5 linked regions of the Mus musculus genome follow. Each later gene encodes a partner of the first gene's protein in a complex. Links are inferred from orthologs where the notes say so. Each region holds a gene or a part of one and is shown in the gene's direction. Other genes may lie near its edges. The genes, in order: Virma, Zc3h13, Cbll1, Mettl3 and Rbm15.

Region 1 (5,629 bases):
TATAGATACTTCCATTTAAAAATATAGATTATTCTTTTTGTTTTTTAAGAACTTGGCAAATGGCTTGAACCTCTGAAAAACCTCAGATTTGAAATTAACTGCATCCCAAATCTAATTGAATATGTTAAACAGGTAAGTAAAAGTTAGAAGGGCTGTGATTGTTGTGAAACTGATGACACATGGAGACAATACTGAAGTTACCCTCTTGATAGTGGAGAAACCCCGACCTTGATTGATCTGTGTGACTATAGTATTTGATGCATGGATGAAGGTAGTCATGTACATGAACACACATGCATGCAATACTCTGTTTAAATAACCTGCTACTCTATGTTTGGATGTCAGAGTACAGCTTGTGGGGTTGGCTCTCTCTTCTGCCATGTGGAGTCCAGGGATGGCACTCAAGTCTTCAAGCATTTTGGAAAGTACTTTTGGAAAGCTATCTCCTAGGTTCTACAAACACCTTTGAAGTTAAATGCTACTAGTATTCTAATTTTAATTAATGAAATAGTGTAGCTCAGAATATTTAGGTGAAAATGGATGTAGCCAATTCCAGATAAGTCTAGTGTGGACCAGTGTTCTTTGTTGTTAATTTTGGATAGTGACAACTGTAGTTGAAATTAAAAGTTGAAATCTGTAAAATCTATAATTTGTAAAAGTAATATTTAAAAATTCATATGTATTTCATAATGAAAAAATTATTCATCATTAATCTTGCAGGTTGCTCTTTCTCCCCTTTTTTTCTTACTTGACCCAGTGGGGCTGAAGGCACATAATGAACACGTTAAACTACATCAGTGTAGACTGAGTTCTCTGCTACTGCTATGTTTAGCAGATGACCACTGTGTTTTTTTCATATTTAAGAGAGGAAGTCACCTTGGTTTTGCAGCTGTAATATATTATTAAAGTAATTTATATATTTTGACCAATTCTTTGCTCTTTTGAAGTCAAAAGGAAGTATTGTTTAGTACTATCTGCTTTAGATCTTTTTGTCTTAGTGATTCCCTTGTCTTTTCATTCTGTGTCTCTTAAGAATATTTTTGTTTGTTTGCTTGCTTGCTTGCTCTTCTTTTTTCTTTTATAGAAAGGTCTCACTGCCCTTGCTGGCCTGTAACTCACTATGTAGACCAGGCTAGTGTGGAACTCATTATGTAGACCAGGCTAGTCTAGAACTCGCCAAGATTGGTCTGCCTCTGCCTCGTGAATGTTGAGATTAAAGGCAGCCTGTGCTGCATGAGATCCTGTCTCAAAACAGAAAGAGGGTAAAGAGAAGAAAAGACCTTGAATTATTGTCTATTAACTAAACATTTTAAACTGATGATGATGGTGAATGCTTGTAATCTCAGCACTGGGTGCCTGAGTCGAAGGATTGCAAGTGAGAAGCAAGCAGAGACAGCATCAGAAAACATTGCCTCAAAACCAGAACCCTGCCAGGGCCAGGGAGGAAGCTCTGTTGGCAGAGTGCTTGCCCAGAATGCACAAAGCCCTGACTTTCTTTCCTGCAGCATACGAGCCGGGGTACGGTGGTCTGTAGGAATCACTGGTACAGGGTTATATTGTCAGCTGGATGGTGAGTTTGAGGCCAGTCTGGGCTACATGGGATCCTATCTCAAAAAACCAAACAACAAAATGAAATTCTGATTTCCTCATAAACCTTGTGTTTATTTCTATTTTGATTTTTGGTTTGAGGTAGGATTCAGTTGGAAAACTTAGGCTGGTCTTTATTTACCTCCTGAGTGCTAAGACCAGTCATGTACTACCATGTCCTTTCAAGTCATTACCCCATAAATTTTATTCTATAAGTAATTCCTATCCTAAGATACACTAAATACAGTTGAACCAATATTGAAAGTTGATGATTTCTTCTTGTCTCAGTGATTTGTAAAACTGTAAGAAAAAAGTTAAGGCAAAAGGATAATGCAGAGCAGAAGCCCGTGAGGGAGAGCAGGCTTGGTCGGTTTGTTTGCTTGCTTTTAAAGCTTATATCCTGAGACTTAGAAGTTGGAATATTTTAAATCATCAAAAAATTTCAAGTTATAAATTTATTAATAATGTTAGTCTGTGAAAGCTACAAAATGTAAACAAAACTATTTGGTATTTGGAAACATAATCAGATTTTTTGTTTTTCGAGACAGGGTTTCTCTGCATAGCCCTGGCTGTCCTGGAACTCACTCTGTAGACCAGGCTGGCCTCAAACTCAGAAATCCACCTGCTTCTGCCTCCCGAGTGCTGGGACTAAAGGCATAATCAGATTTTAAATACAAAAACAGTTTCATTTCTTGTACTCTGTCTTTTTGGTGTCTGCATTTTAAAAAATAAATGCTATTTAGTCTATAAATGTTTGAAGGTTTCATCTAACCCTTGAAAGAAGTTTAGTAACCATGGGGCTTTTTAAATATAGTCTGGCACAGTGGTGCAAATCTGTAATTCTAGCTCTTTATGAGGCAGAGGAGGCCAAATTAAAGTTAGAGGCTAATCTGGGGATCTTAGTGAGACCTCTGCTCAAAACAAAAACAAAACAAAGACCCCAGAACCCAAGAGCTCACTTGTCAGTTTAACCATTGCTTCATTTTTGAGAGAAATAATATAAAATGGGTCTATAGAAAAGAGTTATTTTAAATTCTTAATACAAAGAATCATAGGCTTTTATTTACTGCTTTGTTTTAGTACTTGAAATACACAAATATGCTATGTTTGGTTTTTGTTTTTGTTTTTGTTTTTGTTTTTGTTTTTTGTTTTTTGTTTTTTAGACAGGGTTTCTCTGTGCAGCCCTGGCTGTCCTGGAACTCACTTTGTAGACCAGGCTGGCCTTGAACTCAGAAACCTGCTTGCCTCTGCCTCCCAAGTGCTGGGATTAAAAGATGTGCGCTGCCACTGCCTGGCTACGTTTGATTTTTAACATATTATTGTACAGTACAAAACATGCCTGTGATGTTGCTGGAGAGATGGGTTAGCATTAAAAACACTGGTTGCTCTTCTAGAGGATTCAGGTTCCATTCCCTGTCCCTACATGGCAGCTCACTGTAACTCTAGTTCCAGAGGGGGTGCGACATTCTTATGCACACATACATGCAGACAAAACACCAGTGCATATAAGGTAAAAATTAATAAATCTTTTAAAAAAATTAAAAAAGAATTTTACAAGAAAAAGTGAAATTAAACCTAAGGTGAACTAATTTACGAAAGTTTCTTTAGTAGTGTGGTTTTTCTTAGATGTTGTCTCTTTTGTTTGGGTGTTCTTTGAGACTGGACATGGTATAGGTCTAACCCTGGCTGCCTTGGAATTCATTGTGTAACCCAAGGCTGGCCTTAAACTCACCACTGTGCTTCTTGCTTCAGCCTCCTGAGTGCTGGCATTGCAGGTGTACAGCACCACACCCAGCTTTGTCATGCTTGAAACATGCTAAAGAGTGAAGAGTGTGCAGCCCAAGCCTTTGTGCTGAGGATTAAACCTAGAGCCTTGTGCATGCGCGTGCACACTCTACCTCTGGAAGCTCAGAGTCTTCACTAACTTCTTGTTTGCTTTTATTTTATTTTTTAAAGAATATTGATAACTTGATGACTGCAGAAGGAGTTGGCCTTACCACTGCCTTACGTGTTCTCTGTAATGTGGCATGTCCACCACCTCCCGTAGAAGGTAATATAATTAATATACTTTGAAAACTTCCATACTTAAGCCTGGTTAAATATCATTAAATATTCAAAATATTCTTATATTCAAAATATTCTTGATTGATTGATAGCATGTAAGTAATTCGTTTTTTCTTATTCCTTCCTTACCCTATATAAAGGTCAGCAGAAAGACCTGAAATGGAACCTTGCTGTTATTCAGCTTTTTTCTGCTGAAGGAATGGACACCTTTATTCGGGTTCTGCAAAAACTGAACAGTATTTTGACGCAGCCTTGGAGGCTCCATGTGAACATGGGGACTACCCTGCACAGAGTCACTACCATTTCAATGGCTCGCTGCACGCTCACTCTGCTTAAAACTATGCTGACAGAGCTCCTGCGAGGCGGATCCTTTGAGTTTAAGGACATGCGTGTTCCTTCAGCACTTGTTACTTTACACATGCTCCTGTGCTCTATCCCTCTCTCAGGTCGTTTGGATAGTGATGAGCAGAAAATTCAGAATGATATCATAGATATCTTACTGACTTTTACACAAGGAGTCAATGAGAAGCTCACGATCTCGGAAGAGACTCTGGCCAATAATACTTGGTCTTTAATGTTAAAGGAAGTTCTCTCTTCCATCTTGAAGGTTCCGGAAGGCTTCTTCTCAGGACTCATACTCCTTTCAGAGCTGCTGCCTCTTCCCTTGCCCATGCAGACCACGCAGGTACCACTTCATATCACATGCATCTTGTCATGACTGCAGTAGCTCCTTAGTAATGCCAGGGATGCTGGTCAAACCCAAGCAAGCCTTCGTCCTCCTCCCCAAAGACAGAGTAACTGAGCTGAGGGTGAGATGAAACTGAAGCGAGTTGGAAGTGTGGGGTAATGTTTGAAATGCCTTTTGTGAAGCGAGTTTTATCATGTTGTTATGTATACTTGTACTTATGTTTTCCTGTTACTGCAAATCTTTTTTCTCCCCTTATCATGTTTTTAGAATTTGCAAATTAGATCGCTTCATCAATGGACTCTGCTCAACTGACTGCCAACCTGAGAACAATACTTTTTTTTAGACCTGTTGGATTCAAACAATTGTTTAATTGTAATAGTGTAATAGTGAATTATGTTTTAAGCATGCAGTAAAGGTGTTCTTTTTATGACAGTTCTTCCTGAACAGTTTTGCGACTATAATAAAAAAAAAATCTATGTACACACACATTATACTTTTTTAACAGGTTATTGAGCCACATGATATATCAGTGGCACTCAACACCCGAAAATTGTGGAGCATGCACCTTCATGTTCAAGCAAAGTTGCTCCAAGAAATAGTTCGTTCTTTCTCTGGCACAACCTGCCAGCCCATTCAACATATGTTACGGCGTATTTGTGTTCAATTGTGTGACCTTGCCTCTCCAACTGCTCTTCTGATCATGAGAACTGTGTTGGATTTGATTGTAGAAGACTTGCAAAGGTATTTTCATTCCACCTTAAGAAGTTTTCCTCAAGTTACTCTTGACACAGATAACCTCTTTTACATAGTTTGGAAACTAGGGTTTAGTAAGCCTAGATAACATGTGGATGTATAAATACACACACACACACACACACACACACGCACACACATACTATAATATATGAAAATTATTTTTTTAGAATGCTTTATCTTCTCATTTCATGTGTAAGTCATGTTGAAGGTCTTGATTGGGGTTTTTACTTAAATTTCATTATAGCATAATGCTTGCTTGTGTGCATGTACATGCTCATACATGTATGGTCAGGACTTTATATAGTTGCTTTTTTCTTTCCTTCTGTATGTGGATTCTGGGGTTGAACTCAGGTCATTAGGGTTGTTCTATATGAGTACCTTTATTTCCTGAGTCACCTTCCTGCCCCAGTTTTGCAGTTTTTAAAAGGTGAAGTATAAAGAACTACTCTGACTTGAAGTATATTATTGAAATCCTGAAATTATAAAATTTTGCAGTGACTATAAGCTTCTGGAAAAAAATCATTATATCAAAGG
Region 2 (5,629 bases), on another chromosome or scaffold:
TCTCTGTGTAGCCCTGACTGTTCTAGAACTCACTCTTGTAGACCAGGCTGGCATTAGATCTGCTGGCCTTTCCCTCCCAAGTGCTAGGGATAAAAGTGTGTACCACCAGGCTCAGCTAACATACATTTACTCCTTACTGCCTTCTACATAGATAGAAATTGTCCATTTCTAGGTGTTATTCTCAGTTAATCAAAGCTTTTGTTTTCTAGGTCTTTTTCTACACCACTTCTTTAAGTTTTCAGTTCTTTCATGCTCTGTTCCATAATCAACTAGATATGTGCACTGCTGTGTCTTCTTCTGCACATTTATATTTGGGCTGAGGATGAGTTTGAGAGAAATTAAAGATATATATTATACTGATGTTAATTTATATCTGGCTCATATGCTGTCTTGGACAATGGCTTGTACAACTGATTTTGCTCATGAATGTGACATTCTAAACTCTTTAAAGTATATAATTACTTCAGAGTTATTTCTTAATTTTTATTCTATTAAAAGAATGGTTACATTTTATGTTAAAGAGTTAGTAATATAATATATAAACTTCCCAGTTAAATCTACCTTGATTTGCCATCTTTTTTCACTTGTCAAACTTTTTTTCTAACTTTTAAATGTATCAGAATGTGACCTAAATGGCCTAATTAAGTGAAATATTTTTATAATCACTATTGAATTTTTGGCTTTATTTTTATATTTCAGGATATTTTATCTGTTTTCTTTTTGTTGTTGTTATTTTCAAAACAGCGTTATACTATTAATCCCAGGCTGACCTTGAACTCACTACGTAATCCAGGCTGGCCTGAATTTACAGTCCTCTTGCCTTAGTCTTCTTTCTGAGTGCTAGGTTTACAGGCCTGCCCCACCACACACTCAGCTGCTACTGATGTGATTTCTTGTCCAGTAATACGTATTTATTTTGAAATCATTAGAGATCGTCTGTGATCTTGATAAAGACAGGTTCTGCTGCTGGGGAGTGTATGTAGTGGAGAGCGTCGGGAAGCCCTGTGTTCAATGCCTAGTGCTGCATACAGAGTCAGGCGTGGGTGCCTGGGATTGCAGAAATCAGTGGAGGCAGAAGGACAGGAAGCTCAAGGTCATCCTTTGCTGTATGTTGAACTTGAGGTCAAAGTGGGCTACGTGAGATCTTGACTCAAGCACACACAGGCACACAGGATTAGTTGTGTATCAAATAGAACTTACCTTTTTTTTTTTTTTAAGCTTCTAGGGCTCTTTCTAATCACGTGACAGTTAGGTGATGTAAAGTGTTGTGTAGTTAGCTCCTTTGCTTTTACTCACAGAGTTTTTTCCTTAAGTAAATCAGTACCAATTATTTCTTGGTCTAGAATTTGTTTTCTAACATGTGCTGTCTCCTGAATTTTCACTTTCAATTAAATAATTGAGTTAGTTTTCTGATTATAGTTTCTAGTTTTTTAATGCTTTGTTTAGCTTTTATCTACTGTTGCCACTTGATTTTTTTCATTACCTTTAGCAGCTTTGACTTTCATCAGCATGTGTTAGAAACCTTGGGCAGTTTTGGTTTCAATATTACCGAAAAATTAATATTTTTAATCAGATTTTCTGTGACCCCTGTAGCAAAGAATTTTTAAGTAATGTCCACTTTTCTTCTATACTGTTTGTTTGTTTGTTTTACTTTTGGTTTTCTTCCAGACATAACTAGGCTGTGAACTAGAGATTCTCCTGCCTCAGCTTCCTGAGGACAGAGATTACTAACATGTAGCAGCACATGGACCCAGACAGTTCCATACTCATTTAAAACAGTACTTCTGTAGCAACTTAACAGTTAATCAGTAGTTAATCAGTTGTTCCCCTAAAGGACAGGCCTACTAAATTTTACAACACTTTTTAAATGTTTAAGTAACATTTGAAGTTGAATGTCCAGTACAGAGGATATACAGGTCAACCAACCGTTTCCAGAGTTGTTGGGCACTTAGAAGGCAAGCACCATCTTTGTTTATTGGTGTCTTCTTTCAGTATCTTTCTGTCCACCCCCTGCCTCAAGAGAAAAAAAAAAAATCTCCATTTTTAGGCTTTACTTATAGTTTTGTCTGTTTGAAGTTTTAGGCTCAGGTGTGTAAAATTGAAAGATTGTACAGTTTTAACTCTCTCTTTTTTGGTTAAAGTAGTTCAAAATGTCAAAAATTAGGAGAAAGGTCACAGTGGAAAACACCAAGACCATATCTGAGAGTACATCCCGAAGACCTAGCGTATTTGAGAGGCTTGGCCCCAGCACTGGAAGCACAACAGAGGTGAGTTGTTGCTACTGTGGGTTCAGAGCACCTATTGGAGTGTGGTGTAGTGGCAGAGCCCTTACCTATCATGTATAAAGAGGCCCTAGCCTCGATCCTGTGTACTGGGGGAAACATTTAAAATACTATTATTGAAGTACTGATTGCTATTATAAAAGAAATTGTGTTTTGTCATGGGTTTGGCTTAGCAAATTTTATTTTATAAAAGGAAATACAAGGAAGGGTTAAGGTTTGTAAAGTTCTCATTATATAATATTTTTGTATGTTCAATGTATACGATGTATTTCGAGCATATTAATACCCCATTCCAGGAACTACTCTCTACCTAAACACACACACACCTTCCTGTGGTTTTTCATTCCCTTATGGTGTTATTATTATTGGAGTGGCATATGCTTAGCTGGCATTTGGGTCTCTCTGACTTGATTTTGCCCTGGTACCATCTTTTCTCCAGACATTTACATAGTAATATTTGCCTCATAGACACAGTGTCGTAACTGGCTGAAGACTGGCAGCTGCCTCTATGGAAACACATGTAGGTTCATACATGGCCCTTCACCTCGTGGGAAAGGCTACAGCAGCAATTACAGAAGGTAAACTGAGAACTCAGATATTTTCTATAGTATTAAAAACCAACTTTTGTAGTTTAGTGTAAAAATATGAAATAAAACCATATATTTGGTCAGATTTTCTTTTTTTGGATAGTCTTATTTTGGTTGTTACTGTTAAGATTAATAAAACTTTAGCTTTAAAGTGTACATGTTTACATGTTTTGGTAGTAGATCCATTTTTCAATGTGTATATTCAAATCAATGAACACCTGTGGAGAGACTGAGTCTGGGAAAGAACAGCCCTTAAAGAGCCCCTACCTGACACAGCCCCAGGTGTGTATTAAATTTCTGCTTAGGCACAACTCAGACGTTTGAGAGAGTTTACTTTTCGTAAACGAGTAAAATTTAAATAAGGTTTAATTGTAATTTTCTACAGGCATTTTAAATTCATATCTTATACAAGCTTTGTTATAAAATCTACTTGCCAACCCTCTTGGGGCACTGTGTTAATATAAATGCACTTAGGGGCAGGAGTGATAGTCAGTGGTTAAGATCCCTGACTGCTTTTCTAGTAGACCTGGGTTTAGTTTCCAGCACCTACAGGGTAGCTAACAGTCATCTGTAAGTGCAGTCCTGGGGGACCCAGTGTCATTTTCTGGCTTTAGGCACCAGTCATGTACATGATGCACAGTCATGCAAAAAAAAATACCCATACACATAAAGCAAACAAACAAATAATTTAAAAAAATTAAGTGTGTTTCTATGTGGATAAATATTTCCTCTGCAGAACTCTATTTGCCTTTGAGAGAAACTTGGCTAAACTTAACTTGCACAGTGAAGATGTTGTTAGGATTCCCTGTGTCTCCTTTTAATGACTTGGCAATAATTTTTAAAGTTAACATGCATAGTATTTTTTACAGAAATAATTTAATTGGTAAACAAAGAGTTTACCTAGTCCTGAAATTGTGTATGCTGATTGCTTTGTCTACATCAGTAGCTGGAAAACTGAATGTGAAAATTAGTGACGGGAGATTTTTAAGTAAGTGTGTGTATGTGTTCACTCATGTGGGCACTCCACATTTGAATGTGAAGGTCAGAGGACAGCTTTTGGGAGTCTGTTTTCTTCTTTAGGCATGAATGGCCGTCACTTTTACCCACTGAGCCATCTATGGCTATCATTTTTAAGGTGCATAAAGTAATTTTTAGTTAGTAGTGTATGCAACTACATACATATCTGTGGATGGGAATGCTATTATCTCTGAAATAATTTTGCTACTTTATAACTTAACCTTTCTTTTACTCTCCTTCATCTACAATATGTCTGCTAAATTTAGGTGGTGAACAGGAGGTAACTCAAGCTGCTATTTACACACTCATTTTCTTTAGTACATACATTGCTTCTTTTTTATATTACCAGTACTTAACACACAATGGAAGTTAACATGCATCTTGAATGGCATTAGGAGAAACTTGTAAATATTTCTCATATTTTAAAATATTACTGTTTAATAAGCTGAAACATTATTTTTCAGAAGTTTAGGCACCAAAGACAGAAAAATTATATTAGTCTTTATGAAGTTATTTATATTATTCTTATAAAACATCATAGAAATACAGATTTTTGTTGTTTTGTTTTGTATCACAGGTCACCAGAAAGACCCACAGGTGACCTCAGAGAAAGAATGAAGAATAAGCGTCAGGATGTGGATTCTGAATCCCAGAAACGGAATACAGAGGAGCCATCCTCACCTGTTAGGGTAGGCATAAAATTTGTAAGACCCACTTAAGTTTCAGTAGTCATTTATTTCATGAACTCCATTTTAAATATTAAGTAGCGTGACTTAATATGCTATAAATCTATAATTACACATGACAATATCCTGTGTGAATAAATAATTTTCTATGTACTTAAAATGACCAGCAGAGCTTAGCTGAACTTAAAAGGTTTTGTATGATCCGGGAACTCACGAGTATCTAAATGCAGGCTACAGTTGTGAAGTTATCCTCGTGGTCAGTTTTTATCCCTCTGTAAAGAAATCCCATCTCTTCTGTCAATCACTCCTGTTGCCCCACTGACCATGAGCCCTAGGCAGTCATGAAATCACTTCTTTTTTATAAAGTGTCTACTCTTTGTGCTTCTTTAAATAGATCTTATAAGGTGTTACCTCTCTTGAGTATCTTCCTTAGTTTTTAATATTTATGGAAGATTGTTCCTTTGTCTTTTTTTTTCTAAGAATATTCCATTAGCATTCTATATTCTCTTTTTCACTTATCATTGATGGATATTTGGGCTCTTCCCTCTTTTCCCCCATAATGTGAGTGAGAAGATTCATGTACAAGTCTTTTGTTAGCACGAGTTTATTTTTCTTGGTTTTATCCCAGGGAACAGAATCGCTGAATACATGGTCTGTTGGTTTCTTTTCTGTTGCTGTGACAAAATGCCTGTCAGGAGGAGGCTTATTTTGGCCTAGAGTTTGAGGGTGCCATGTGCATCATGGCGGGGCTGGGGTAGTGGGGGGTGGGGAAGGGGCACACTTGGTCGCTTGCACTCACAGCCAGCAGGCAGGCAGGCCAGGAACATCAGGCTGGGCTCAGCTCCCTTTCTTCTTGGTATTCGGTTCAGGATTCCTAATGCTTTGTCCTTTAGTACATGTTGTGATGACCCCAACCATAAAATTATTTTGTTGCTACTTATAACTATAATTTTGCTATTGTTGGATTGTAATATAAATATCTGATATGCAGGATATCTGTTATGTGACCCCTATGAAAGGGTGGCTCGACCCTCAAAGGGGCTGTGACTCCCAGGCT
Region 3 (5,629 bases), on another chromosome or scaffold:
CCAGCTAGCACGGGTCCCCAGCAACGCCGTAGGGAGAATGGGAGCAGGACAGAGAGAGTAGGCAGGGGGAGTGGGAGCAGGACATAGAGTAGGCAGTTGCCACAAATATTTTGGTGGAGAATCCAGCAGCTGCTAATAGGTTGGTTTGTGGAAGTATGTGAGAGAAATGAAAAAAACCTGAGTTTCCCAGTAGAGTGTCTTGATACTGCATGGGTAAAAGTATTACCCTAGTTTCTAAGTTATTAGCCAAAGATTGCCTGGGGAAATAAAAATTATTCTAACATGAAAATAATCACTACTGACCTAGCTAAGGTTAAAAAATGAGTTTCAGGGCCCGGTGGTGGTGGCGCACGCCTTTAATCCCAGCACTTGGGAGGCAGAGGCAGGCAAATTTCTGAGTTCAAGGCCAGCCTGGTCTACAAAGTGAGTTCCAGGACAGCCAGGGCTATACAGAGAAACCCTGTCTCGAAAAACAAAAAACAACAAAAAAGTGTTTCCAGACAGCTCTCCTTTCTGTTTAATGTTAGCTTTTCTAGATTTTAAATCAGTTATGACAAAGTCTCCTAGTGCTTCAGTTTTTTTGTTTTTTTTTTTTTTGGTTTTTTGAGACAGGGTTTCTCTGCGTAGCCCTGGCTGTCCTGGAACTGACTTTGTAGACCAGGCTGGCCTTGAACTCAGAAATTTGCCTGCCTCTGCCTCCCAAGTGCTGGGATTAAAGGCGTGCGCCACTACGCCCGGCGTGCTTCAGTTTTAATTGCTGCACATTTTGAGAAGAAAAATATGAAATTAAGCCAAAGACTCAAACTTTCACAAAATAAATACAAATTTGAATCATAGAGCCTTTGGCAAACCAAGAAATGGTAGTTAGCTAGTTAATTGACAATTTTCTGACTGAGTAGACTTCTCAAAATAATGATTTTTAATGTCAAAGGATCAAGAGGTCTTGTAAATGGGAGTATTGAAGTAGAATTCTGCCAGAAAAAAAAAATTTAGAATTTTTTTAAATGGCAAACACGTATTGCTTTCTTTAGTGTTTCTCTAGATTGCAGCAGTGTCAGCGGTGAGCTCAGGGCCCTCGGGGGTGGAGAGAAGCAGCAGAAAGGTGATGGCACCCTTGCAGCTCCTTTCAGGCCAGCTCTGTCCCATGCTCTTACCTCACGGGCACCCAGGCCAATAAAGACCCTGCAAACACTTGATTCATTCTTTAGTCATTGTAAGAGATGGTTAGTGCTTAGGTAAAAGGAACCCACATTTTTAAAATACTGCTTCATTCTTTTGGGGGAGATAGATCCTGGGGACCTGAACCCAGGACCTTAGACAGGTTTTACCACTGAGCTACATACCTGGCTTAAGTTCCTTGGCTCCTTTTATTCAAGATAAAATATTAAGTGTGTTGTTTTTAAAACTATATAATAAAATAATATATTTTTAAAGGTATATTTACTTTAAATGGCCCAATTATTCTTTTTATCCCTTATGTAACATCCAGATATTTATTACATGCTTTGTGTTTTGTTTCTGTGTATGGGTGGCCCCACACAAACAAACTTCAGAATTTTGTCCCTTGAAATCTGTGAGGCAAACAGTAGCTTTAGAAAGAGGCTCGTGAAAGAGCCAGGCTACTGTTTAAATAATGGGAAACTGGGTTATGTGAGCTGGTTGGAAGGCTGTGCAGGTAGTGTGTTGTCAATCACAGACTGACACACTAATAACTCTTGTGATATCTGAAGGGCAACATGTTGGCTAGTTCAGTTCTTTGGAAAGGTGGGAAGACTTTTTGTGCAAGGGGAAAAGGTTATCTGAGATCTATGTAGGTACTTATATATAGATGAGCGAATGCAGCAGAGACTGCTGAAATACATGAAAGACACTCCATTTTAGTGCAGTATTGAAGATTGATCAAGTTGGTTTATTATAATTCAAGATTGTAGCTATTCATCTAATCTTTCCATGAAAGATTTTGAGAGGAGTTAGCTGTTATAAGAGTAGAAAGTAAACATGTTTAATCATTAAAACCCATTTTAAATTTCATTTTATTTTGATGATAGAAAGGGCAAGAGGGTATGAGTTTAATTGGTTGGTATTGCCTATAGAAGTGGACATTATTAGTACTAGCAGACTACGTTCACATTTGTGTTTTGCCGGATTTAACGTGGACAGTTTGGCTCTCAGCTTCGATTGTAACTCTTGCAGGAGCTCTGTTCCGTAATTTGTGTTGCAGACACTACAATTTTAAGATTATATTTGCATTTTTTACCCTTACGTGTTTCCCTTTTTATCCTAAGGTAAAGTTTAATACTTTGTGTTACATATTTTTATGTACTTCTATGTGATTCAGTCCTGTGAAATAATGTGCCCCTTATTCATGAACAAGAATTCCTTTTTTTCATTGATGGTAAGATTTTTAAGGACTAGAAAGTGTCTTGTTTTTTAAGACCCAGGTCTAACTAATAGTTTTCCATTGCAGTGTTGACTGTTAACTAAAGATACCTGTTGCCTGTGTCTCTAGAAATGTTATAGTACAAATAATGCATGTGTTCTATTAAATGATATATTTTTGTTTCCGTTGAATAATTTTTTAAAAAAATGTTATGCTTAAGGGAATAATTACCTCTTTAAAGCCAACACATAAGCCAGTAAGGTGGCGTAACGGGTGACACTGCTACCTGCTGAGGCCCTGAAGTCAACATCTGGGGCTCAGGTGGTTGGAGGGGAGAAACGATTCCCACAGATTGTTTTCTGACCTCCACATATTCACTGTGGCTCCACAGCAGTCCCCCCTAAACATAATAAATTAAAACTTCATTTTCAAATATATTTCAGATTTAGGGTTGCATTTTCAATTTGTTATGTAAATTTACTAAGTTTACTGCATGGCTACTTCACCTGTTTGATAATTAGGCACATATGTTAAGACAATTTTTTTTTCTCCTTTATTTTTAAAAATCTTTACAATCTGTAAGAGGTTTTTAGACTTTTAAAGAGGGTTATCTTTTTGTAAACTACTATAGAATTGTATGGTAATTTTTATTGCTCATTTTTTAGAAAGATAAATGTTCTATAATTTTTATCAGCTTCTGAAAGGGTTCCCTGACAAAATAAATAATTAATTAATTAATTAATTAAAGCTTAACCGAAAGCATTTCTTTAAAGGTTTACCCCAAATAAAGACTATTAGCAGTTACACTTACCAGTCTAGTATTTAAAATCAGAGCCAAGATCTTCAGTTTATTGTTTGATGTTGTTGATTTTATCTTTATACTTGTTGTAGAACAATTTTCAAAAAGAAAAGTAAACATAATTACAATTTCTTTTCTTACATTCATATAGACAATGAGTTACAAGGCACTAATAGTTCTGGATCCTTGGGTGGTCTTGATGTTCGCAGAAGAATCCCTATAAAGCTCATCTCCAAACAAGCCAGCAAAGTTAAGCCGGCACCTCGGACTCAAAGGACTGTCAGCAGGATGCCCGCAAAGGCCCCGCAAGGTGATGAAGGTAACTGGTGTAAACTGAAATGAGTGTAAACTGAGTTGTCAGGTTGGAGATGGCTCAGGGATTCAGAGCACTGAATGCTCCTCCAGAGGACCCAGCTTCAGTTCCCAGCACCCATATGGCAGTTCACAACTGTGTGTAACTCCAGCACCCTCACGTAGTCATACATGCAGGCAAAACACCAATGCACATAAATACAAGTAAAATTTTAAAAAGAGTTCTCTTGTTTATCTGAGTGTATCAAGTAATCCATCTGATTTTATTAAACCTATTTTAGAATTAGTTTAGTTCTATCCCTTTTTAAGCGCCCTTCCCCTGGTATTGCACAGAGCATTACATTAAAAGTAAAATTTGTTTTCACGGTCCTCTATAAAACTGATGCTAGTGCCCCTTAAAAAAAAATCTTTCAAGTAAGCTGGGTGGTAGTAGTGAATGCTTTTAATCCCAACACTCCAGAGACAGAGGCAGGTAGATCTCTGAGTTCAAGGCCAGTCTGGTCTACAGGGCAAGTTCCAGGACAGACAGGGCTACACAGAAAAATCTTGTCTAGAAAAACCAAAAATAAAATATAGTTTTACCCAGGTGAGGTGGCACATGGCTGAAATCCCAGCACTTAGGAAGCTGAGACAAGAGGATTAATGTTTGAGGACAGACCCTGTCTCAAACAAATGAGTAGTCCTAGATGTTTAGTCTGTAGATATCCTACAATTTATTTTACTTTCTTGTAGATACTTGTTTTGCCGTAATTGTGTTGTAATGTGAATATTAAAAATTTGACTTGAGAAGATGGCCAAATTCTTGAAATGGGTGAGGGTAATTGCCCTAAGCCTGGTGACCCAAGTTTCATCCTAGAACCATTTAAAAGGAAGGAGAGAACTGACCTCCACCCACCACTCTCCATATGTGCAGACCCCTCCCTCCATATCATGTACACAACAAATGACTGTTTTTAAAGACTTGATTTGTACATTTCAGAATATATCAGATCTTGCTAAATTCTTCAGAAAGGGTGTGGTATAGTTTCTACTCACATACTCAGTATTTTGCACTATTAATTTAACTTTTTTTGAGGCAGAACTTGGATAGCCATTCTGCTCTTGAAGGTCAAAAGTCTTGCTGCCTCGGCCTTGTCAGTGCTGTGGTCACAGGCAGGAGCCTAAGTGTGGTTGGATGCCTTTTCATAGTGCTCGCCAGTTCTTGCCTCAGTTCCAGGCTCTGTTTTGATTGCTGCCTTTCTCTTAATTTTGAATTCTTTATAATATTGGCTTTGTTAAATGTCTGTGTAGTTCATTTATCTTTTGAACTTTGTATATAAAATATTACTGTAAAGAACTTGGACATTCTAGGAAGCCAGTTAAACTAGAGCTTGCTCTCTCCTGTTTTTAATATATTCTTTAAAAGGCCTTTCCTAGTTTCATGAATATAAAAACCGCTTCCTGTCTTGCCATCTGTTAGAAGTCAGCAAGCTGGTCTACAGGCCAAGTTTGGTTCCTTTAAAATAGATAAAGTTGCTGTTCAGTTAAGAGTATTGCCTTGTGGCTATTTTCCTACTAGCGTGGCAGAATTAACTAGATTTATATGACCAAGAAAGCCTAAGTTTTGTACTGTGGCCTTTTATAGTAACAGATTGTTGGCCCATACTTTAGAATATTTATGGGTGTGTTTTGTTTTTTTTTTAAGTGATGTTTTGTTTACCATAAATACTGAGTAATTGGTTTTTTAATTCCAGAATAGAAATCTGGCTGTTAACATACATTCAAGTTCTAGAAGATCTGTCTTACTCCTAAATTCTGTTCCGTAAACAACATGGTGATAATTGGTGAGGTTTTATATTAGAGGTGGTTAGTGGAGTTGCTAAGAGCATTGAATAAGAGACTCGGTTATAGGTCTGTTCTTGGCTCTGGCACGTGGCTTATATGGTGGCTGCTGTACCCACAGTATGTTGTCATTTGTAAAGTACTAGAGATGGACTCAATGATCATGAAGACTACTTCCAGCCGGCATTTTAAACTCTAGTTTAAAAATGATATGCCAGTTAATTTCTGTGACAAATGTGAGTTGTCTATTAAAATCTGTGGGAAAACGGTAAGTAAAATTAAGGCCTGGTGTTGTAGAGGTAGGACTCTAGAATACT
Region 4 (6,429 bases), on another chromosome or scaffold:
AGTAGTCAGTTCCCAGAGCGTCCACTGCTCTGTCAGAGCCTTAGACCTGCATCTTTCTTCTCAAGGTCTCAGCATTTGCTTTCAGAGAATTCTACCCATGTCACCCAAATTCATCCATCCATCTTTCTTCCTTTCTTCTTTCTTTCCCTTTTTCTTCCTTCCTTCTTTGCTTTGTCTTGTTTGTTTTTCTTCAAGACAGGGTTTCTCTGTGTAGCCCTGGCTGTCCTGGAACTCACTCTGTAGACCAGGCTGGCCTCGAACTCAGAAATCCACCTGCCTCTGCCTCGCAAGTGCTGGCATCAAAGGCGTGCACCACCACTGCCCAGCTTCTTTGTCATTTTTAATCCTTTAAATACTTACCTCTTTTTAAGTGTTCTGTCCATTATAGCAGCTGAACACACGTGAAGACCCAGGATCCAAGAGAGCAAATATGGGCTGCAAATCTTGGTTCTGGAACTCAGGAAATACCACTCTTGCCACATTCTGTTAGTTTACTAAATCTAGGCAGAAGCCAGTTCACACTCAAAAGGGGAAATAAAATTAATAGGAAGTGTTTGGTTTCTAGGTCCCAGAATAAGGGACTGGGGTGTATATTTTACATATCAAAGCAGACCTGGCCCCCAGGTTCTCCCAGCATCCCTCCTCCCTACCTGGCATACCCTGCCCACAACCTTGAATTTGCCATTCCAGGGGCCAGGCTGCCCTTCCTGCCCTTCCCCCAGAGGTTCCTCCCTCTATAATCCAGACATTTTGCCCGCGCGGGCTCTCTCTCTCTCTCTCTCTCTCTCTCTCTCTCCCTCCCCCCCCCTCGACCCTGCTCTCTTCTTCCCCTCCCCATCTCTCCTCCTCCTTTTCTCCCCTTGTTCGAGAACTTGTTATCTTTTTCTCTTCCCCCATCCCCATCCATGGCCACCCCCCTGGCCCCAATCCTTGGGGACAGTGAACTCACTCAAGAGCAGATTCCCAGTAAACCTGCCTTTAATATGATCCTGTCTGGCTCTAATTGGCTCATTTATCAGGAATAACAGCAAGTATATACATCCCACATAAGATCATAAATTATGGGAGACATTGGTCCAACTGTGGACCCAACCCCCATAGCACAGGAGGCAAAGCTGAAGTGAGGAGTGCAACGTCGTCTCACAATCGCGTAAACCCTGACTCTGCTTTGCTGCCCTGGAGATCTCTGGCATACTATGGCATACTATGCACATATTTGCCACTTAGCTATCACCCACCACCCCCGTTTTTATTTATTTATTTGAGTACACACTGTAGCTGTCTTCAGACACACCAGAGGAAGTCATTGGATCCCATTACAAATGGTTGTGAACCACTATGTGGTTGCTGGGAATTGAACTCAGGACCTCTGGAAGAGCAGACAGTGCTCTTCATTGCTGAGTCATCTCTCCAGCCCCTTAACTTTTCATTATTTAGGGACTATTTTATTAGTTTTTGTAATCAAACTACTGTACATAAGACCATTCAGTGCAATAATAGAAATAATTTTACTTTAGTTTTTGTTTCTGGATAGGTTTGATAGCCAGCCCAGGAGATCTACTGTTCTCTGCCTTTCCAACACTGAGATAACAACTGCCTAGTCATGGGCTGGAGATAAGGCTCAGTGGTAAAGAGCACAATTTATTATTACAGAATTGAACTCAGGTTCAAACCCTAGCACCCACATTGTACATCACAATTGCCTGTAACTCTAGTTCACGAAGATGACTCCGTCTTCTGGTCTCCAGGGGAGCCAGGTATGTGTGTGTGTGTGTGTGTGTGTGTGTGTACAAACACACATATACAAATATTCAAACACAAAAATAAACCTTTTTCTAAATTAAGCTAAAACAATGTCTGCCACCCCACACAGCTTTGCCTTAAATTTATGTGGGTTCTGGGAATCTCAGAATCTCATGCTTTCACAGCAAACACTTTACTGAGCTACCTCCCCATTTCTTGCACATTTTCTTTTAAAAAAAAAAAAAAGAACAAATTTATTATATGTATATGAGTACACTGTAGCCGTCTTCAGGCACACCAGAAAAGGGCAACGGATCCCAATTACAGATGGATATGAGTAACCATGTGGTTGCTGGGAATTGAACTCAGGACCTCTGGGAGAGCACTGAGTGCTCTTACCTGCCGAGACATCTCTCCACTCATCCTGAACATTTTTAAAGAGTGCTCCCTCACGCTGAAAAAGATGGTTCCCTAATTAAGATGTTTGTCTTAGAATATGCCTGAATTCCCAGAACTCGGATATTGAGGCAGGAGGATTGTGAGTTGCAGAACCACATAGTGAAACTCCACTCTCCTTTCACACACTTTGTATAGAAAGAAAGAAAGAAAGAAAGAAAGAAAGAAAGAAAGAAAGAAAGAAAGAAAGAAAGAAAGAAAGAAAGAAGGAGGGAGGGAGGGAGGGAGGGAGGGAGGGAGGGAGGGAGGGAGGGAGGGAGGGAGGGAGGGAGGAAGGAAGGAAGGAAGGAAGATAATATTTAACTTAGAAAATCTGGGGCCTTAAGGGCAGAAATCTATGATACAGTGCTTGACCGTATGTGCAAGGACCAGAATATACAATCAACCAGACTAACAGTCTGTTCACTCCTTCCCGTCCATCCATCTCTCCACGCATACACCCACCCGTCAAACACTCACACTTGTTCTAGCCCTGCTATTTTAAATGCGTTGTCACTAACGACTTAAAGAAACAACATGGCGGGTCTGCCAGCTACCAACATGGCAAACACAGCCTCAGCGCTCCCGGAAACACGAGAGAGAACTACCGTGAGGATTACGTCCGGCTGGTTCGCCAACCGGAAGTGGCTTTTCATCTTGGCTCTATCCGGCTGGCCTTCGGGCGTCCTCGTGAGAATTAGATGTTTCTTAGTTCTAGGCTGGGGAGGTGCTAGTCCGCCGCGCCTGATTCGAGCCGAGTCCGCGCTGGGAGCTAGGATGTCGGACACGTGGAGCTCTATCCAGGCCCATAAGAAACAGCTGGACTCGCTTCGCGAGAGATTGCAGCGGCGACGGAAGCAGGACTCTGGGCACTTGGGTGAGGTGCGGGGTGGTCGGGGCGGGCCTGGGCGGGGCGAGAGACTCCTGGAGAGGAAGACAGCCCCGGGCTCTGCGCCCTTTCCGGAGCAGCCCTTTATTGGACTCCTCGATTGTTGGTTACCCCATCTTTCCCGAGTAGCTGAAACGCATGCCCACCTGCGGGAAAGCTTGCAGTGCCTCCTCCCGGGCGTCGGTTTTTCAAGCGTAACACCACACCAACATGGGTCCACTCCTCTCCTTGGGTCCCATTCCAGTCCTGTCTAGGAGAATGTTGCGTCCGTGAAGCCTCTCAGTACCTTATTCCGAGAGCCAGCAAAACCCGTTTTGTTGCTTCTGTGCCTGTTTTACCTTAGTTGTAACGTTTGCTTTGTCACTGTCTTTTCTTTCCCATGTGGGCGGGGAGCAAGGATTGCTTCTGTATATCTATCCCCAGAGCCCGGTTTAGCAGCCACAACAGGGTCCTCACTAGGACCTTCTCACTAGGACCTTAATGAATGAGTAGTGCAAGTGTTTACAAACGTAGCAAGAATCTGAAAACACTTGATTTTGGTCTTTAAACATTTTCCCCCTCCCCCTTGTATGACAAAGTTAGAAAAATTGAAGGCACTTAAAAGAGTACTACCCTAATAGCCTTCTCCAGCACAAGCTCAATTATTTAAGGTAAACCAGTTGCAAAGCTCTGCGAGAATACCGAATCCATACTACATGTGTGGGTAGCATGTCAGTGCTTTGCAGTATTCACAGCTCACAACAGCAGACCTTGGTGAAATTCAGTCTCACCGTAATTTGTGAACATTTATTGCATATCTACACTACTCATGGGTTTCGGCAAAAAGAAGACACTGCTGTTACCTTAAAGGAGCTTAAAAATCTATGTGAGAATCAAAGAAGATTAGAAGAAAAAGCAGGGAGAAAAACCCTTCATGGTGGCTCATGCCTGTAATCCCAGCACTTTTTTTTTTAAAAGATTTATTTATTTATTATATGTAAGTACACTGTAGCTGTCCTCAGACACTCCAGAAGAGGGAGTCAGATCTTGTTACAGATGGTTGTGAGCCACCATGTGGTTGCTGGGATTTGAACTTCAGACCTTCGGAAGAGCAGTCGGGTGCTCTTACCCACTGAGCCATCTCACCAGCCCATCCCAGCACTTTTTTAAACAAGAGGGATATCTGTGAGTTTGAGGCCAGCCTGGTATACACAGTGAGTTCCAGGACAGCCAGAACTACCTAGAGAGACCCTGCCTCAAAACAAAACAACAAAGCCAAAAAAAAAAAAAGAAAAGAAAAAGAAAGAAAGTGTCACAGCTACAGTATTATATATGTAAGATGCTAAATGAATGGGTCCACAGTCGCTACAATGACTAAGAAATGGGGCAAGCTTAATGGGGACTTCCTACTGGAGTTGCCAGTTAAATTTGGCCTTGATTTTTAAACTGCATTAGCCAATACAAGATTTATCAGATTACATAATTTAAAAAAGATAATAGGGCATTATGGAACACAAAGTGCAAAACATAGGAAAAGGGAATAATTAGAAACCAAGATTTGAGAGTTCGAAGCCAGCATGGTGTACATAGTGAGTTCCAGGATAGCCAGAGCTACACAGTAAGACCCTATCTCAAACACACCAGGAATGAAGAACAGTAACACTTTAATCAAAAAATGTAACAGGCACAGCAGTTAGATTCCTTGTTTTGAGTTGATAGATTCTTTGTTTTGTTTGAAATAAACCTAATAGCAAAAAGTTTGTTTAAACATATTTGGCATTAGGTATCATTGCATATTTCTATAAAATACCAGTTTTAACTATATTTGTAGCTTGAAAAGCAGTCTATGTTTCCACATAGAATTTCGGCTAGATTACATCAAAAAGGATGTTTCTTTGGCTTTAATTAGAAGTTTGAAATCATGGAAAACACTCAAGAATTTAAGACTTATTTACTAACATTTGTTTTGGTCATGGACAGCTTTCCCAAAGTATGCTCATTAAATTGGGCTAGACAAAAAAAAAAAAAAAACCCTACAAAGTCAATGTATAATAAGAATTGCCATGTTGGGTGGTGGTGGCGCACATACAAATCTTAGTTTGCACTTAGGAGGCAGAGTCAAAGGCTAGCCTGGTCTACAGAGCAAATTTCAGGATGGCTGGGGCTATACAGAGAAACCTTGTCTTGAAAAACAAAACAACAACAATAAAAAAGAATTGCCTGGAGTTTTGATTAACAAAATAAACATTTGTAGGAATAGGATTGTATTACACAGTGCTTGGCACACATGTTTGTTTGTTTTTTATGTAAGTGTTTTGCCTTCACGGAATTATGTGCCCCACATGTGTGCCCAATACCCTTCAAAGCCAGAAGAAATCTTTGGATCCCATGAAACTGGATTACAAATAGTTGTCAGCCACCATATATGTTCTGGGGACCAAACCCCAGGTTTGAACAGCAAGCATTTTAACCATTGAGCCATCTTTTCAGCCTTGGCCACATAATTGAGTATAAATGGGGAAATGGTTAATATATGACTTAAAACCATTTCAAAATCTACCTAACAAGCTAGGCATGGCATTACATGCCTATAACCCCATCAGGAGGTTAGAAATTTTTAGGTTAGCGTGGGCTAAGTAGATCCTATCTCAGACAAACAAGGCCAGGCATGATAGTTCATACCTGTAATCTCAGTACTTAGGAGGCTAAGGCAGCAGAGTTTGAGGCTGTACTGGGTTACATAGTAGGTTCCAGACCAGCCTGGACTAAATAGTAAGACCCTGTGAAAAAAATCAGGCATCTCCATGACAAAGTAGTGATATAATTTGACTTACAACTTACCAATAATAGGATAGTTGTGGTGGTATATGCCTTCAGTTCCAGCACTTGGGAGACAAAGCGAGGCAGACTTTTGGACTACATAGTGAGTTCCAGGACAGCCAGAGCTACAAAAAACAAACAAAAAAAAACCCCACCTATACTTTTATAGTCCCTATCAAAAAAATCCTTTTTTTTTTTTTTTTTTTTTAAGGGGAGGGGAAAATGTCTCACCATGTAACTCTGGCTGGTCTGGAACTTACTATATACACCAAGCTGGCCTCAAACTCAGAGCTAACTGCCTGCCTCCGCTTGCCTGGGACTAAAAGGCAATGTGCTTCTATGCCCGGCTGCCTTTTTAAATGTATTATTTTGAGAAAGGTTTGCTAAACTGTCTAGACTTAGACATGAATTACTCTGTAGCCCAAAGCTTCTGTGATCCTTCCTGCCTTAGCCTCCCAAGCTTACAGGCCTGGCTTCCACAACTTATACATTAGCCCCCTTGGCATACTTTGAATCAAGAAAACACTTTAACACTTACGTTTGTTAATAGAATCTGAATTCCT
Region 5 (6,414 bases), on another chromosome or scaffold:
CTTGCTAATCCCTGCCCCTAAGAGCAATCTCTGTAACAATTTCAATAAAAGTGTAAGCATATATATGTAATCCACGATTTTTAAAACCACAACTGGTAGTTTATTATACACATTTTTTCTCTGACTGATGGCATTTTATGTTAACATTATTTAAACATCTTTTAAACATTATTTTTGCAGGCCTGGAGAGATGGCTCAGGCGTTGAAGAGTACTTGCTGCTCTTACAGAGGACTACAGTTTGTTTCCCAGGGGCCCAGATTGGTGACTCACAACCCTGTAACTCCAGCTTCAGGGGCTCTATCACCCTCTCTGGCTTCTCTGGATATTAGAACACTACCATACATACAGACATTCACATAAATATTTTTATGACAAAGTCTCGTTATACAGTCTTGGCTGGCCTAGTATTCACTATATAGACAACTCTGGTCTTGAATTTACAGAGATCTGCCTGCTTCTGACTTTCAAGTGGTAGGATTAAAGGGGTACACCATCATGCACTGCTAAATAAATCTTTAAAAGAATTTTTTTTCCCAGTACTAGGAATTGAACCTAGAGCTTCACATAGGTGTCCAAGGGTCCTGAGCTATGTCTCCAGACTTTTGTGTAGGGGTGGTTTTAAGACAGAATCTCACCAAGTTACCAAGTTACTCTAGCTAATGAAGAAAGCAATTGTGATCCTATCCGCAAGAGCAGCTGGGATACAGGTGTTCCAAAAGCCACATAACAGCTACTTTTAATATACAAATATGTCTATGCTTTATAGTATTTTGCGGTTTATAACTTACATATTGAGCTTCTTTCAAATCTTTTTGCTGTGACCAAGAGAGTTTGGCCCAACTGTTCACCAATTTCAGGGTTATATACCAACAAAACAAAACGGTTGAAATAGGGCTAATCAGGTTGCTGTATCTAATCTTCAAGTAGCTTATAAATTTAGAATTCAAGTTTTGGGGAAGGGCATTCTTATCACCTTGTAAAATGTCCTGTTTTAAAACACATTCTCTACTCAGTCTTAGAAGATGTAAATACCAAAATCTTTCTCATCTCTCCTAGGTACATTTTTGGGAAGACTGCAAAAAGCCTATTTCCTCTCACCAGGAGGTAAACGCTAGTGGGATAGACTACGCATCTAATCTCATGATCACCAGTATTACATAAGCTTAAGAGATTCAGGTGCATGGGGTCGCAGAGGTGGGAGACGGGAGGCGTTTAGACGGGAATCACGGTTAAAGGAGTCAAAGGAAGTGGATATAGGAGGGAGCAAGGTGGCCATGTTACTGGGTCCTACTATGGATTAATCGGAGTGCTGGAGTCCTAGAAACGAGATAAATGTAGTGTCCGCACAGTGAGAAGTGTGACACATTAAAGCAAAGCACAGCTATATTATGTCTCACACATCTTTTATAAATGCAAACCTTACAGGGATTCACAACATAAAGCAGGAAGCAAAAATCTGCAAGTGGTCCTGCAGGTCGGACCAGTAAGTGGGCTTGCAGGACACTGCGGGCCCTAAGGCGGCCACTGAGACTGGCCAGGGCTCCGCGGCGCTGTTCCCTGTGTCCGCGGGCGGGCAGTGACTCGGTACCGCCCAGGGCGTCAGCGTGACCCGAGGCTCTGTGAACCCTGAACTCACCGCCCCAGCGGGCCGCACAGACCGGGGCAGGCGTTTTCTCGCGCACGGGGGTGGGGCTTTTTCAGGCAGCTAACTAAGATGGTGTCGGCTGGACTGTCCGGGACAGCTGCCTAGGCGGATCGAGTGAGGGCCAGCAGCCGGAAGGACCACCGAGCCCATTGTCCCGCCCAGACAGGACAGTGAGGAGCCCGCAAGTTCCAGACTCGAAGGACCGAAGCACAGGCAAGTACGCCGTAAGGACCTAACAAATGTTTAAGAGAACGCCGAAAGCGCGGGGAGGCGGGCCTGACTCACTGTCACCATCTCGCGACAGCAAAGTGACGTCGCACAGCAAGCGCGTGGTCTTAGTCTTTCACCTTCAGACGCCTCAGTTTATGGGCCTACTCCTTTAAGTGAGTGATGGACAGCGCTTTTATCCAATCATGTTCCTCGTCAACATCCAATCAGATTTAAACTTTCTTCAGCCGCCGGAGAAGTTGGAAGACTGGGGTCGAAAGAGAGCGAGCGAGTGAGCGAGTGAGCGAGCGAGCTCTTTGTCTCTCGCGAGATCGGAGAGAGCCAAATTCTCAGGAAAAAACGCCTGAACTGATGTCCAGACTTCCCGATAGTGATTTAAAAGACGTGGCCACAAACCAATGAAAGGGAAGAGAAGGTGGGATCGCTGCGTTCGCCGTGCTAGAAGTACCGTTACAGGGCAGAGTTTTTGTCCAATCAACGCTTCTAGGCTTTGGGTCAGGTGACCATGAAGTGCGAGGGGCGGAGCTACAGCCTGGCGCGAGGAACCGTTAAGATAGACAACGAATATAACCAATGAGGTACTGGGATTAGGGCGTTGGGAACCCAATAACAGCGTCGGGGCGGGCGCCTTCCCGGAGCGCGGGGAGATGTAAAGACGGACAAATAGTTTTTCCAATGAGAAGGCTGAAGAGTGAATTAATTGACCAATGAGGTCTGCGGGGCGGGAGCCTTTGCCGCGGCGGAGTCCAAGATGGCGGCGTGCGAGTCCGCTGTGTGAAACGAGCGCGGGGTGGCGGGTTAGTCAGCTCCGCAGAGACGACCTCCGGCGACCCTCAACAATGAAAGGAAAGGAGCGCTCGCCGGTCAAGCCCAAGCGCTCCCGTGGCGGTGAGGACTCCAGTTCTCGTGGGGAGCGGAGCAAGAAGTTAGGGGGCTCCGGCGGCAGCAATGGGAGCAGCAGCGGGAAGACGGACAGCGGCGGGTCGCGGCGGAGCCTTCATCTGGACAAGTCCAGCAGCCGGGGCGGCAGCCGCGAGTACGAGACCGGCGGGGGCAGCTCCAGTAGCCGCTTGCACAGTTACAGCTCCCCGAGCACCAAAAATTCCTCAGGCGGGGGCGAGTCGCGCAGCAGCTCCCGGGGTGGAGGCGGGGAGTCACGTTCCTCCGGGGCCGCCTCCTCCGCGCCCGGCGGCGGGGACGGCGTGGAGTACAAGACCCTGAAGATCAGCGAGCTGGGGTCCCAGCTGAGCGACGAGGCGGTGGAGGACGGGCTGTTTCACGAGTTCAAACGCTTCGGTGATGTAAGTGTCAAAATCAGTCACCTCTCAGGTTCTGGCAGCGGGGATGAGCGGGTAGCCTTTGTGAACTTCCGGAGGCCAGAGGACGCGAGGGCGGCCAAGCATGCCAGAGGCCGCCTGGTGCTCTATGACCGGCCTCTGAAGATAGAAGCCGTGTACGTGAGCCGGCGCCGCAGCCGCTCCCCGTTAGACAAAGATGCTTACGCCCCGTCATCCAGCGTGGTCGGGACCTCAGTCGGTAGCCACCGGCACGCCCCTGGAGGAGGGGGAGGTCAGAGGTCGCTTTCCCCTGGAGGTGCTGCTCTGGGATACAGAGACTACCGGTTGCAGCAGTTGGCCCTGGGCCGCCTGCCTCCTCCACCCCCGCCACCATTGCCCCGAGAGCTGGAAAGAGAACGAGACTATCCGTTCTATGACCGGGTGCGCCCGGCCTACAGCCTGGAGCCGAGGGTGGGAGCTGGAGCAGGTGCGGCTCCTTTCCGAGAAGTGGATGAGATATCACCTGAGGACGATCAGCGTGCCAACCGGACACTTTTCTTGGGCAACTTAGATATCACTGTGACGGAAAATGATCTCAGAAGGGCTTTTGATCGTTTTGGAGTCATCACAGAAGTGGACATTAAGAGGCCTTCTCGAGGCCAGACCAGTACCTATGGCTTTCTCAAATTTGAGAATCTAGACATGTCTCACAGGGCCAAACTTGCAATGTCTGGCAAAATTATAATTCGGAATCCAATCAAGATTGGTTATGGTAAAGCCACACCCACTACCCGACTTTGGGTGGGTGGTCTGGGACCCTGGGTGCCTCTTGCTGCCCTGGCACGAGAATTTGACCGATTTGGCACCATTCGAACCATAGACTACCGTAAAGGTGACAGTTGGGCATATATACAGTATGAAAGTTTGGATGCAGCTCATGCTGCCTGGACCCATATGCGTGGATTCCCACTTGGTGGCCCAGATCGTCGCCTCAGGGTAGACTTTGCAGACACAGAACATCGTTACCAGCAGCAATATCTTCAGCCTCTGCCCTTGACCCACTATGAACTAGTGACGGATACTTTTGGACATAGAGCACCTGACCCTTTGAGGAGTGCTCGGGACAGGACACCACCCTTACTATACAGAGATCGTGATAGGGACCTTTATACTGATTCTGACTGGGTGCCACCCCCACCACCGGTTCGAGAACGCAGTGCTCGGGCTGCAACTAGTGCTGTCACTGCTTATGAGCCACTAGATAGCTTGGATCGAAGGAGGGATGGCTGGTCACTGGACAGGGACAGAGGTGATCGGGACTTGCCCAGCAGCAGGGACCAGCCAAGGAAGCGAAGGCTGCCTGAGGAAAGTGGAGGACGGCATCTTGATAGATCACCTGAGAGTGAACGGCCTCGAAAACAGCGTCACTGCACTCCTTCTCCTGACCGAAGTCCAGAACTGAGCAGTAACAGAGATCGCTACAACAGTGACAATGATCGATCATCTCGTCTTCTCCTCTTGGAAAGGTCTTCCCCAGTCAGAGATAGACGGGGCAGTTTGGAGAAGAGCCAGAGCGACAAGCGAGACCGTAAAAACTCTGCATCAGCTGAACGGGATAGGAAGCATCGGACAGCTGCTCCCACAGAGGGAAAAAACCCTCTGAAAAAGGAAGACCGATCTGATGGCAATGCACCCAGTGCCAGCACTTCTTCATCAAAGCAGAAGCCACCTTCCCAGAAACAGGATGGAGGGACAGCTCCTGTGGCAGCATCCTCTCCCAAACTCTGTTTGGCTTGGCAGGGCATGCTTCTACTGAAGAACAGCAACTTCCCTTCCAACATGCATCTGTTGCAGGGTGACCTCCAAGTTGCTAGCAGTCTACTTGTGGAGGGCTCAACTGGAGGCAAAGTGGCCCAACTCAAGATCACTCAGCGGCTCCGTTTGGACCAACCCAAGTTGGATGAAGTAACTCGACGCATCAAAGTGGCAGGGCCTAATGGTTATGCCATTCTCCTGGCTGTACCTGGAAGTTCTGACAGCCGATCTTCCTCTTCCTCAGCCACATCAGACACTGCCGCCTCTACTCAGAGGCCACTTAGGAACCTTGTGTCCTATTTAAAGCAAAAGCAGGCAGCTGGGGTGATCAGCCTCCCTGTGGGAGGCAATAAAGACAAGGAAAACACCGGGGTTCTTCATGCCTTCCCACCTTGTGAGTTCTCTCAGCAGTTCCTGGATTCCCCTGCCAAGGCACTGGCCAAATCTGAAGAAGATTACCTGGTCATGATCATTGTCCGTGGTGCGTCCTAAAGTCCATGTGTAACTTGTATTTACTACTTGACATGGTTCCTTGTTTTGTGATGTGTAATGGGATATAGCATCAGATGAAAATTTCTTTCAATTAGTTTAGTTGATTTTTTTTTTATATATATATATTTTTGTAAACCTTAAAATAGATATTAGGGCAGTTAGTTACTAAGTGAAAGGGATGCCCTGAGGTAGCGGGAAGATAGGTTGCTTTAATTAGGAGTTCTTACCCTCATAATTTTTCTTTAGGTTTTTTTTTTCCTTTTTCAATTTTGAGGGTTTCTTTTTTTTTAAATCCTCAAAATGATAAAACCCCCAATTTTTAAAATTATAATTTGGAGAAAAGTACCTTCTGATAATATTTACTCTGTACTGAAAATGATTTGATTGGTGCATAGAAAATTTAAACTAGAAGCATTGTGTGACAAAAATTTGATCAGGTGTTGCAAAGTCCAATTACTTTAATCAGGTGTTTGAGTATTTCTTTAAATATACAGTTTATTCCCAGAAAGTTTGCTTTAACATATTAGTTTTTGAGTTTTGTATCCCATGTTTGTAGCAGTAACGGGTAAAAGTTGAGGCTTGTGTTATAAACCATTTACATCTTAAACTGGTATGCAAGAAATGAGTAAATGCTTTTAAAATGAGAATTTGTTGGTAAGTTAGGTGCACGATAGTGTTCTTACTGACTTGAGAGGTGTAGCTAATACAGTTTTATTGTGCATACTTCAAAACCAAAAATGAAGGTTTCTGTATCCACTTAAGAAATTTCTGGTTTCAGTAAGAGTTGCCTGCAGGCTTATAAGTAACCCTTTTATTTCCCCTAGTAGACATTAATCAGACATCTGAATTACAGAAGTTTTTAAACGGTGATTGTAAAATGCTCTCAGTATATTTGAAGAAAATGCCTTCAGGTTTTTTTTTTGTTTTTGTTTATGTTTAAACAAGAATAGTGGCAT

The links.
Region 2: the proteins of Virma (region 1) and Zc3h13 are in contact, whole or in part, in a cryo-EM structure (PDB 7VF2), measured with the Homo sapiens proteins. The link is inferred for Mus musculus from reciprocal best matches to the Homo sapiens genes VIRMA and ZC3H13. Residues at the interface, in NP_056311.2 of Homo sapiens: Leu521, Ser529, Tyr531, Gln532, Leu535, Glu536, Ile538, Leu539, Leu540, Asp541, Val544, Val547, Thr548, Ser551, Leu554, Gln555, His558, Glu561, Val562, Ser564, Glu565, Lys567, Gly570, Asp571, Ala574, Glu575, Thr577, Ser578, Glu621, Glu625; in NP_001317494.1 of Homo sapiens: Pro1492, Leu1493, Asp1494, Val1495, Ile1496, Asp1497, Val1498, Asp1499, Trp1500, Ser1501, Gly1502, His1507, Leu1518, Lys1520, Phe1521, Pro1523, Val1526, Met1527, Arg1529, Val1530, Gly1531, Ile1532, Ser1533, Lys1535, Leu1536, Ala1537, Gly1538, Leu1541, Lys1544, Val1545.
Region 3: Virma (region 1) and Cbll1 share a complex: the UniProt entries of both Homo sapiens proteins name them as parts of the WMM complex. The link is inferred for Mus musculus from reciprocal best matches to the Homo sapiens genes VIRMA and CBLL1.
Region 4: Virma (region 1) and Mettl3 share a complex: the UniProt entries of both Homo sapiens proteins name them as parts of the WMM complex. The link is inferred for Mus musculus from reciprocal best matches to the Homo sapiens genes VIRMA and METTL3.
Region 5: Virma (region 1) and Rbm15 share a complex: the UniProt entries of both Homo sapiens proteins name them as parts of the WMM complex. The link is inferred for Mus musculus from reciprocal best matches to the Homo sapiens genes VIRMA and RBM15.

What each region holds. Positions count from the first base shown.
Region 1 is NC_000070.6:11,522,804-11,528,432, forward strand, and holds part of Virma (protein virilizer homolog), read left to right. Parts: intron 1-49; coding exon 50-132; intron 133-3,543; coding exon 3,544-3,637; intron 3,638-3,791; coding exon 3,792-4,336; intron 4,337-4,844; coding exon 4,845-5,080; intron 5,081-5,629. UniProt on the Homo sapiens protein: Associated component of the WMM complex, a complex that mediates N6-methyladenosine (m6A) methylation of RNAs, a modification that plays a role in the efficiency of mRNA splicing and RNA processing.
Region 2 is NC_000080.6:75,289,428-75,295,056, forward strand, and holds part of Zc3h13 (zinc finger CCCH domain-containing protein 13), read left to right. Parts: intron 1-2,141; 5' UTR 2,142-2,150; coding exon 2,151-2,267; intron 2,268-2,750; coding exon 2,751-2,860; intron 2,861-4,463; coding exon 4,464-4,575; intron 4,576-5,629. UniProt on the Homo sapiens protein: Associated component of the WMM complex, a complex that mediates N6-methyladenosine (m6A) methylation of RNAs, a modification that plays a role in the efficiency of mRNA splicing and RNA processing.
Region 3 is NC_000078.6:31,492,451-31,498,079, reverse strand, and holds part of Cbll1 (E3 ubiquitin-protein ligase Hakai), read left to right. Parts: intron 1-3,330; coding exon 3,331-3,498; intron 3,499-5,629. UniProt on the Homo sapiens protein: E3 ubiquitin-protein ligase that mediates ubiquitination of several tyrosine-phosphorylated Src substrates, including CDH1, CTTN and DOK1. Targets CDH1 for endocytosis and degradation.
Region 4 is NC_000080.6:52,301,514-52,307,942, reverse strand, and holds the start of Mettl3 (N6-adenosine-methyltransferase subunit METTL3), read left to right. Parts: upstream 1-2,818; 5' UTR 2,819-2,955; coding exon 2,956-3,055; exon of another isoform or gene 3,056-3,060; intron 3,061-6,429. UniProt on the Homo sapiens protein: The METTL3-METTL14 heterodimer forms a N6-methyltransferase complex that methylates adenosine residues at the N(6) position of some RNAs and regulates various processes such as the circadian clock, differentiation of embryonic and hematopoietic stem cells, cortical neurogenesis, response to DNA damage, differentiation of T-cells and primary miRNA processing.
Region 5 is NC_000069.6:107,329,248-107,335,661, reverse strand, and holds the start of Rbm15 (RNA-binding protein 15), read left to right. Parts: upstream 1-2,372; 5' UTR 2,373-2,581; coding exon 2,582-5,447; intron 5,448-6,414. UniProt on the Homo sapiens protein: RNA-binding protein that acts as a key regulator of N6-methyladenosine (m6A) methylation of RNAs, thereby regulating different processes, such as hematopoietic cell homeostasis, alternative splicing of mRNAs and X chromosome inactivation mediated by Xist RNA.